Linked DNA regions of Sus scrofa. The protein of the gene in region 1 interacts with the protein of each later gene in a biochemical or structural test. Links are inferred from orthologs where the notes say so. Each region holds a gene or a part of one and is shown on either strand. Other genes may lie near its edges.

What was found. The genes of interacting proteins can lie anywhere in the genome.
Region 2: the proteins of TLE4 (region 1) and PAX5 form a complex in vitro, tested with the Homo sapiens proteins (2 studies listed by BioGRID). The link is inferred for Sus scrofa from reciprocal best matches to the Homo sapiens genes TLE4 and PAX5.

What each region holds. Positions count from the first base shown.
Region 1 is NC_010443.5:232,355,098-232,359,378, reverse strand, and holds the start of TLE4 (transducin-like enhancer protein 4), read right to left. Parts: upstream 2,801-4,281; 5' UTR 2,574-2,800; coding exon 2,529-2,573; intron 2,188-2,528; exon of another isoform or gene 2,033-2,187; coding exon of another isoform or gene 1,994-2,032; intron 1,688-1,993; coding exon 1,590-1,687; intron 521-1,589; coding exon 457-520; intron 1-456. UniProt on the Homo sapiens protein: Transcriptional corepressor that binds to a number of transcription factors. Inhibits the transcriptional activation mediated by PAX5, and by CTNNB1 and TCF family members in Wnt signaling.
Region 2 is NC_010443.5:237,764,955-237,768,454, forward strand, and holds part of PAX5 (paired box protein Pax-5), read right to left. Parts: intron 1,605-3,500; coding exon 1,407-1,604; intron 1-1,406. UniProt on the Homo sapiens protein: Transcription factor that plays an essential role in commitment of lymphoid progenitors to the B-lymphocyte lineage. Fulfills a dual role by repressing B-lineage inappropriate genes and simultaneously activating B-lineage-specific genes.

The sequences.
Region 1 (4,281 bases):
AGGGGAAAACTGGACAAGATGTCTAGTGTCTTAACCATCATTCTTTAAAAAAATATAACATTAAAATTTTAACAGTTTACAGAAAAACTCTGGTTAAAATTTTTTAGAGCAAGAGCAATAAAACAACAAAGAAAACCACTAACACAGAAACATTTTGTTTGTGACTCTAAATGAAACATAAATGAGGTTTTTACTTTTTTCAATCTGTAAAAACTGAGGACAGAAAATTATACCCCATGCAGCTAAACTTTTTGAAAATTCAAATCAAAGCTGGTTGTCAGAGGCAAGTTCTAACATCCTGGAATTACAGGTTGCTAATGGTCATATTCCCACGACTTCCAGTATCCCAGCACTTTGACTGTGATCTATCCTGCAGCCTCCAGCAATCTGAACATATTCTTGCTTTCGGCATCCCAAACTAATAGGCACTTTGAATCTGTGACACAGTTTTCTTACCATCACATAATGCCGCTGCATCTCTGTCTTCTCACTGGCAAGTTTTTCACATTCCAGCTTCAGGCTGTTCCAGAAAAAAGGAAATCTAAGTACATTGCAGAACCTGACTTACATCCCTCAAATGTAAATACACATTCCCTCTTCCAAATCACCACCTACAAAACATCAAATCAACTATCTTAAATACCACCCTCATTACTGAAATAGGCAGAAAGAGAAAAGGGTGATTGGAACCAGCCTGGACTTGCCCTTTCAACAAGGATCAAATGTGATGGTTTTGTTTGCTTAAAAGAAAAAAAAAATGACCAATTTAACGCGAATTGCATCCAGAATATTCACTAACTTAATAAAACAAAGAGGAAATAATTATCAATAATGTCTACATCTCCAAACACAAAGTCCCCTGAAATGTCACAAGGGAGTTTTTTCTTTAATGTTCCACGAAGAGATTAAAATGAAAACATGAATCAAGCAAGCTTTATGAATGATGTCTTATTTTTTTCCCTCCAAAACACAGAGACAAGTTGAATACCACCACCCAGGGGCAAGGCATGGATCCGGTTCAGTGGCTTGTTTTGGTCTGGCATTTAGGAAGTAAAAACCACACGTCATCAAAAATCCAGCAAAAGAAAAATATTTCAAAGGCATTCTAAGTCTAATGATTGTCTTTTTAAGACAATAAACATCTTTTCAGTATAAAAGTAATGAAATCACCTGCTTGGCGACTTCCCACGGCTCTGTGCCCCTGGTAATTCAGTGGAATGGCAGAATAAGAAGGAATCAAAAGCAGAGTAATAAAGAACCAAGGAAGTCAAAAGGCCCCAGAATCTTCCAACCTTCCACTCTCCTTGCCCCAATAAATCAATATCGAAAGTTTGGCCTCAGCGTTTTCCAAGTCTCCCCAGTTTCGATTGTTCGGCCTTTTAAGGTTTTGGTTTTTTAATTTATGGGAGAAGGAGGAAATGCTTAATTTCTTTACACCTGCCAAAGGAAAAGAGGCCTGGACTTGCCCTTTCTGCCCACAAGGAAAAATGACAATACCTCTGCGGTGGCCAAAAAAAGGGGGGGTTGTACGGGGGTGGGGAGACAAGAGCTAAGCAAACAGAAGAATCAGCTAAAGTCAATATCGTTACCTGTGGTATTGAGCCTGTAAAAACTGAAACTCTTCCTTAATCCGATCACAGGACTCGGAAATGGTAAATTTAAAGGGCTGAGCAGGCTGGTGCGGTGCCTAAAGAACAACAATAAAATATTTAATTAGCCCACAGTAGAGGCAAGGCAGAGAGATGCAGAAAACACAGCACGCCGCGCTGGCGGGGGGTTGGGGGTGTCATCGCGCTAGCAGGCAAAGAGCGATTAAAACTCTCCTCCTGCCCCCTCCCCTGGCCGCAAAGCCCAGTGGAGGCTGCAAGCGGGCTGGCCAAGGGCCCCCGCGTCCTCTCGCCCGCTCGGGCCCCCCAAGGGTTCGAGACCCCCGCTCTCCTCCTTCGCCGGCCGTGAGCAACCACCCGGAGCGCCGCGCCCACTGCCTCCCCACCCGGAATCGAAACGGGCCAGTCGGGGGGACGCGCGCCATGGCGTCGAGCCGCGGTCAGGTCGGGGGAGGGGGCACGCAGCCGCCACCCTCCCCGGCCGACTGGTTCGCTCTTCCCCTGGGCGTGCGGCGCGAGTGGAAGGCGTCCCGCACTCCCGAGCCGCTGCCGGACCCGCCGCGCCGCCGCTGAGGGCGCCCTCCCCGCCCCGGCGCGGAGTCGCGCCTCCTCCATCGCTAGCCACCCCTCCTAGAGGAGTCGCGGCGCGGGGACGACAAACGGCTCCGCGCGCCTTCCAGGGGCTTCAAAGACAACAATAAGAAAATGGCTACAACTCTGTTGCCTCTCCGCACCCTGGCTCCGAAAGTGCCACTGAGCCCGGGGGGAGAGGTGGTGGGGGCGGGCGACTCCCCGGGCAGGGAGCCGGGTTCGGGCCGCCCTCCACGCCCCTCTGGTCACAGACACAACTCGGCACGCAGGGGGCGACGCGGGGAATCCCCCGGCGCTCGGCGAGCCCGCGCCCCTGACGCCCGCACTCACCGGGTGTCTGGTCTGTGGGTACATCTTGCTCAGGTCGCGAATCATCCAAACCGATTTAGTTGGCTACGCTGGGCAGAAGCGCGCGGCTCATTGGCTTTAAAGGCCCGGAGGAAGAGGCGGCGGAGGCGGCCGGCCGGGTCCGAGGGGCGGCTCGGGCGGTCCTGGCCCCCGCCGGGTCTCGCGTGACGCGGGCGGCAGGAACGCGCGGCAGCGGCGGGCTGGGTGCAGACAGCCGGGCCCCTCTGCATTCCCCGCGGGCGTCACTGGCCCGCCGCGGGCATTGTCCGGCGCGCGTCTCCCGCGGCAACGCTCCGACGTTCGCTCCGCCGAGGCGCGCCCGCCGAAGCTGGCGCCGCGGCCGCGCCGCTCACCCAGCCGGGAAAGTGCGAGCTCCGCGTCCCAGCGCTTGCCGGCAGCGCCGCCCGCTCGCTCACTGGCTCGCTCGGCGTCCCACTCCAAACTTTTTTTATTTGTCTTTTAATTGGTTGTTATTCCTCCGAATGAATGATCTCTCTCTTCTTTCCTAAAAGCAAACACAAACTCCTTTGGTTCGGAAGAGATCTCGGCGGTGCTTTTTGGTTTCTCTGGAGATTTTTTTTCACCTCACAGCAACGATCTTTTAAAAGGCACCTTTTAGCTTCTTTTACCACATCTCATTTCCTTATTTTTCTTCCTTCCTGTTTTCTTGTCTTTTTAAACCCCAAATTGGAGGGGATTATAAAAATAAAAGAGAGTGAAACGCTTGCGGCTTTAAAAAAAAAAAAATCTCTCTCCTTTCAAACTCTGCGAACACCACCTCAAAATAATATACAAGTGTGTGAGAGGGGGAAGAAAGCAGCCAACAGCCCAAACACCCGCTCGGAACAGCTCTAACAACACGTTCGGTGTAGGTGACTTCTTTGACCAAATTTAGCAGCGGCTAATCATTAACATTCTGATACATATTCACAACCGTCCGTGGAGGGCCCGCGAAGCATCCCGGGAGATGTAGTCCGCCCCCGGCGGCCGCAGCTGAGGATTCCGCCAGATTGACTACAATCACCGGCCCGCCACGCGACCACTCTGGGGTGCTCTCCAAGAGCCCCTCCCACCCCCTGCGCAGTAGGCGTCTCCAGCAACCAATCAGAGATGGCTGAACATTAATCGCTGTTCTGTGTTACTGCCCATCATTTCACTGTTGACAAATGGCAAGCTAGGGGGGAGGAGCCGGCGGGGTTGGAACCCACGTGGGGGCCGGGCGTCGTCCGCGGCTCGGACCAATGAATGGAACGTTATGGGGTTAGCAGAGGCGGGGCGGAGATGGCCCGCCCAAGGCGGAGCTTCGCCTTGGATGACGTTCCTTAGCGCGAGCGTTCGAACCGAGGAAACATTTGTTCGGCTGTCAATCAAAGTAACGTGGGCCTGGGAGAAGCGGTGGCTGCTGCTGCTGCTGTTGCCTCTGCCCTGGCTGTATCTTCAGAACTGGGTGTTGGTGGCGATGGTGGCGGCAAAATAAAGAGGGTGGAGGGGGCGGTGAGACTGGAGGCTAGTCAGAAGATCTTCCGAATTCGGGTTCTCGCACCCGCCCCGCTCCAATCTAAACACCCTCGGCCCCTTGCTCCCGGCCGCGCCAGGAATGCGGACTAATTAGGGTCCAATGTCTCCTTAAAGAGACAAGCTCGGCCTTGTGTAATGCTCCGAAACCCCTGTTGAGACAAGAGAGGGAAGATCACGCCGATCCCACTTCGTTCAGTTCACATCAATTTTACGCGCC
Region 2 (3,500 bases), about 5.4 Mb from region 1:
CTGACCGCTTCGTTCTGCCGGGGGTGAGGGGTCCCCTATGCCCAGACCGGCTCTGCACTGACAAGAGTAGGGCCTGACCTTGGAGAAATGGGAACTGTTCAGGTTTTCAGTCTGCTGGCTCCTCTTTTCTTTGTGGAGTTTAGAAAACAATCATTTCTGTCATCTCACAACTTCATCCTTGACTCTATGTGTTTCATTTCCATTGAAACCCATCTCCAGTAGAAAACTTTTAGGAATTCTCATTTTGAAGCTCTGAGAGCTCCACTGAATGTATTCTAGACAAGACTGGAAAGGAGAAGGAGCTCCCAAGAAGAAGATCCCATGCCTGGTACTCATAGTATTTCTCTGGTTTTTTTCTCTCCAGGGGTAAGATTTGGGGCAATTGGGAAAAGGGCAACCCCTTAACTCCACGGCATCTTAGTATCCTGGATGTCACTCTTGGAGGCCACAGGCTCCCATCAGAACCACCAGGGTCCTGGGCTCTCAGAGAAAGGAAGAGCTCTGTCAAGAGCACACCATAGGGAGTTCTCTGGTGGCCTAGCAGTTAAGGATCTGGCATTGTTACTACCATGGCTCATGTCACTGCATGTTCAGTCCCTCATCCCAGGAACCTCCACATGCCATGGGTGCGACCAAAAAAAAAAAAAAAAAAAAATCACAGGCTATGTCTGCAGCAAAGCTGGCAAAAGGAGCTACTAAAATCTTCCAAGTCCAGGCTCTGTTCCCCACACTCAATGGCTCATCCTCTGCCCAAGCTGGAGGCAGGGATCTCCCTCCTGGGAAGCTCTGAATTGCGCCAGTGCTAACCTTGAGCTTTGGCTTGCAAGGAAGTGACATTTATGAAACTCTAACAGGAAAATTCACAGTTAAGTGCTCCACACACAGAGGCAGGTGGTGAAGGGAGTGAAGGCAATGACTCTGGGCTCAGGAGACTCTCCAGCAGCCAGGGTATTGGCCTGGCCTCCTCTCCCTGGGCTTAGGACTCATGCCCACTTTGGAGAGAAAGAAAGGGTGATAGAGAGACTCATCCAGCCCCATTAGCATCCCTCCTGTCTGATAACCTCTATGTGGTCTTGACAAGATCTTTAGAAAAGGCACATGCAGGAGTTCCCGTTGCGGCACAGTGGAAACAAATCGACTAGGAAACATGGGGCTGTGGGTTCAATCACTGGCCTTGCTCAGTGGATTAAGGATCCGGCGTTGCCGTGAGCTGTGGTATAGGTTGCAGATGCAGCTCGGATCTGGCGTTGCTGTGGCTGTAGCTCCGATTGGACCCCTAGGCTGGGAACCTCCAAATGCCATGGGTACAGCAAAAAAAGAAAAAAAAGAAAGAAAAGGCACATAGAGACCCCCAGGAACCCCCACCCTACCCAGACCTCTAGCCTCCCACAAACACCAGCCCTCACCTGTTGATGGAACTGACGCTGGGCACTGTGTCATTGTCACACACCCGTTCCGCAAGCAGTCGATCCCTGATCTCCCAGGCAAACATGGTGGGATTTTGGCGTTTATACTCAGCAATTTTTTCCACCACTTTGGGTGTGGCGACCTTTGGTTTGGATCCTCCAATTACCCCAGGCTTGATGCTCCCCGTCTCATAATACCTAGGACCCAAGGAAAAAGGAGCTTAACCTTGAGAAACCAGGAAAATACATGTTGATAACAAAATAGTGGACCACTCTGTCCAAGAAATATTCAGATCTTTGCTGTCCAATACAGTAGCCACTAGCCATATGTGGCTTTTGAACATTTGAAATAGGGCTCGGTTGAATTGAGATGCATTGTGGGTGTAAAATATATACCAGATTTTCAAAACTCAGTACAAAAAAGAAATGCATAAATCTCGTTAATGATTTTTCTATTTGTTACATGGTAAAATGATCATCTTTTTTATATACTGGGTTAAAAATATCATTAAAATTAGTTGTACCTGTTTCCTTTTTCCATTTTAAATGTACTACTGGAAATTTTTAAATGTCATGCATGGCTCACGTTACATTTCTATTGGACAGTGCTGGTTAAAATGCGATGCATTGATGATTTAATTAATTCTGTCACATCTATCTACCATTTACCATTTGAAGGTTTACAGAAAACTTTCAAGTCAGTTTTCCCATTTGATCCCCACAACATTTCTAAAACACATAAATGTTTTGAATGACAATGAATAAATAAATAGGTCCCTATCTACAAATATAAAACAGAGATCTATAGAGGTTAAACTGTCTGCCCAGGGTCACACAAGACCCAGTGGTAAACCAGGACTATGGCCCAGCCTCCTGAGCTAAAATTTCCCCAGAAAGCTGACTTGTGCCCTTCATGTGTCAGCTCTCCCTTCGTCTAAGAAGACTTGTCTACATACTGTGAAACCCTTCCCTAAGATGCAACTTTTTTCCATAAGAGAAAAACAATAACCCTAGTGTAAAATTTAAAAGGGTGTTGGACTCCAGAATTAACTGAAAATAGCAGTTATATATATGTCAAAACCCAAGCAATCAAAAAAAAAAAAAAAGCAAAACAAAAAAAAAAACCAGAAAACCACAAGTCACGGCAGCTTTTCCAGAGACCACCCCTGAGGTAAATCGCTGTTTCTAAGGACATTTCCATGCTATCAGCTCTTCCTCGTTAACACAAATAGGATGTCAGGGTTTTACAATAAAACCGAGACCAGGGAGAAGAGTGCCATGAAAGATCATTTCAGGGGAAAAAAATTACTTCATTCCTTTTCTGAGCCTGAGCCTTCACTGGATGTCTCTCTCAACATTTACAGAGGAATTCTTGACTTCCTCTTGCAAAGGAGATGATCATGCAGTTGAAAAAAAAATTTTAATGAAAAAGACATTTTTAGAAATGTTTAAACCAAACCAGAGTTTATATAGTAGGTAAGGGAAAGTGGTGATTCTCCCAAGGGCTGGTAACCGATAACAGTGACTGGTTGCAGTTAAAGAGATGCTGAAATGCTCAGCCTAGGTAAGTCTGGTTAGGGCCAAGTTAGTGACTATTCTAGAAACAGATGAAATAATTTGGGAGCAGTGATGTGGATATGCAAATTCCATTTTTCATTGAGAAGAGTGAGTCATGTACAAATTTGGATCACAAAGCAAAACTCAACCTGTCCTCACTGTTTCTGTAATTGCTGAAAATGTGTTAGTAGTCGAAAAGAGGGTTTTTCAAAAATATCCAAGAAATCGCTTTTTTGCCCGAAGTCTAAAAAAGTATCTGAATGGAAAGCACACAGCAATCTCTGCAGCCTCCAATTATCCTTTCAACTTTACAATAGAAAGTCATTCGTTACTATCAACACAATGACGACGACGACTCATTCTTTAGGCACAGTGCTTTACAGTTTACAGAGTCTTCCTTGAATTATCTTGATCCTCAACCAATCCTGAGAGGCCAGCAGGGTCTTATAAAGGGGAAAACAAATGATCAGAAGATTAAGCGCCCCACCCAACTCCCTTTTGGAATTTAGAAGCAGTCCCGGCTCTCAAACCTGACTC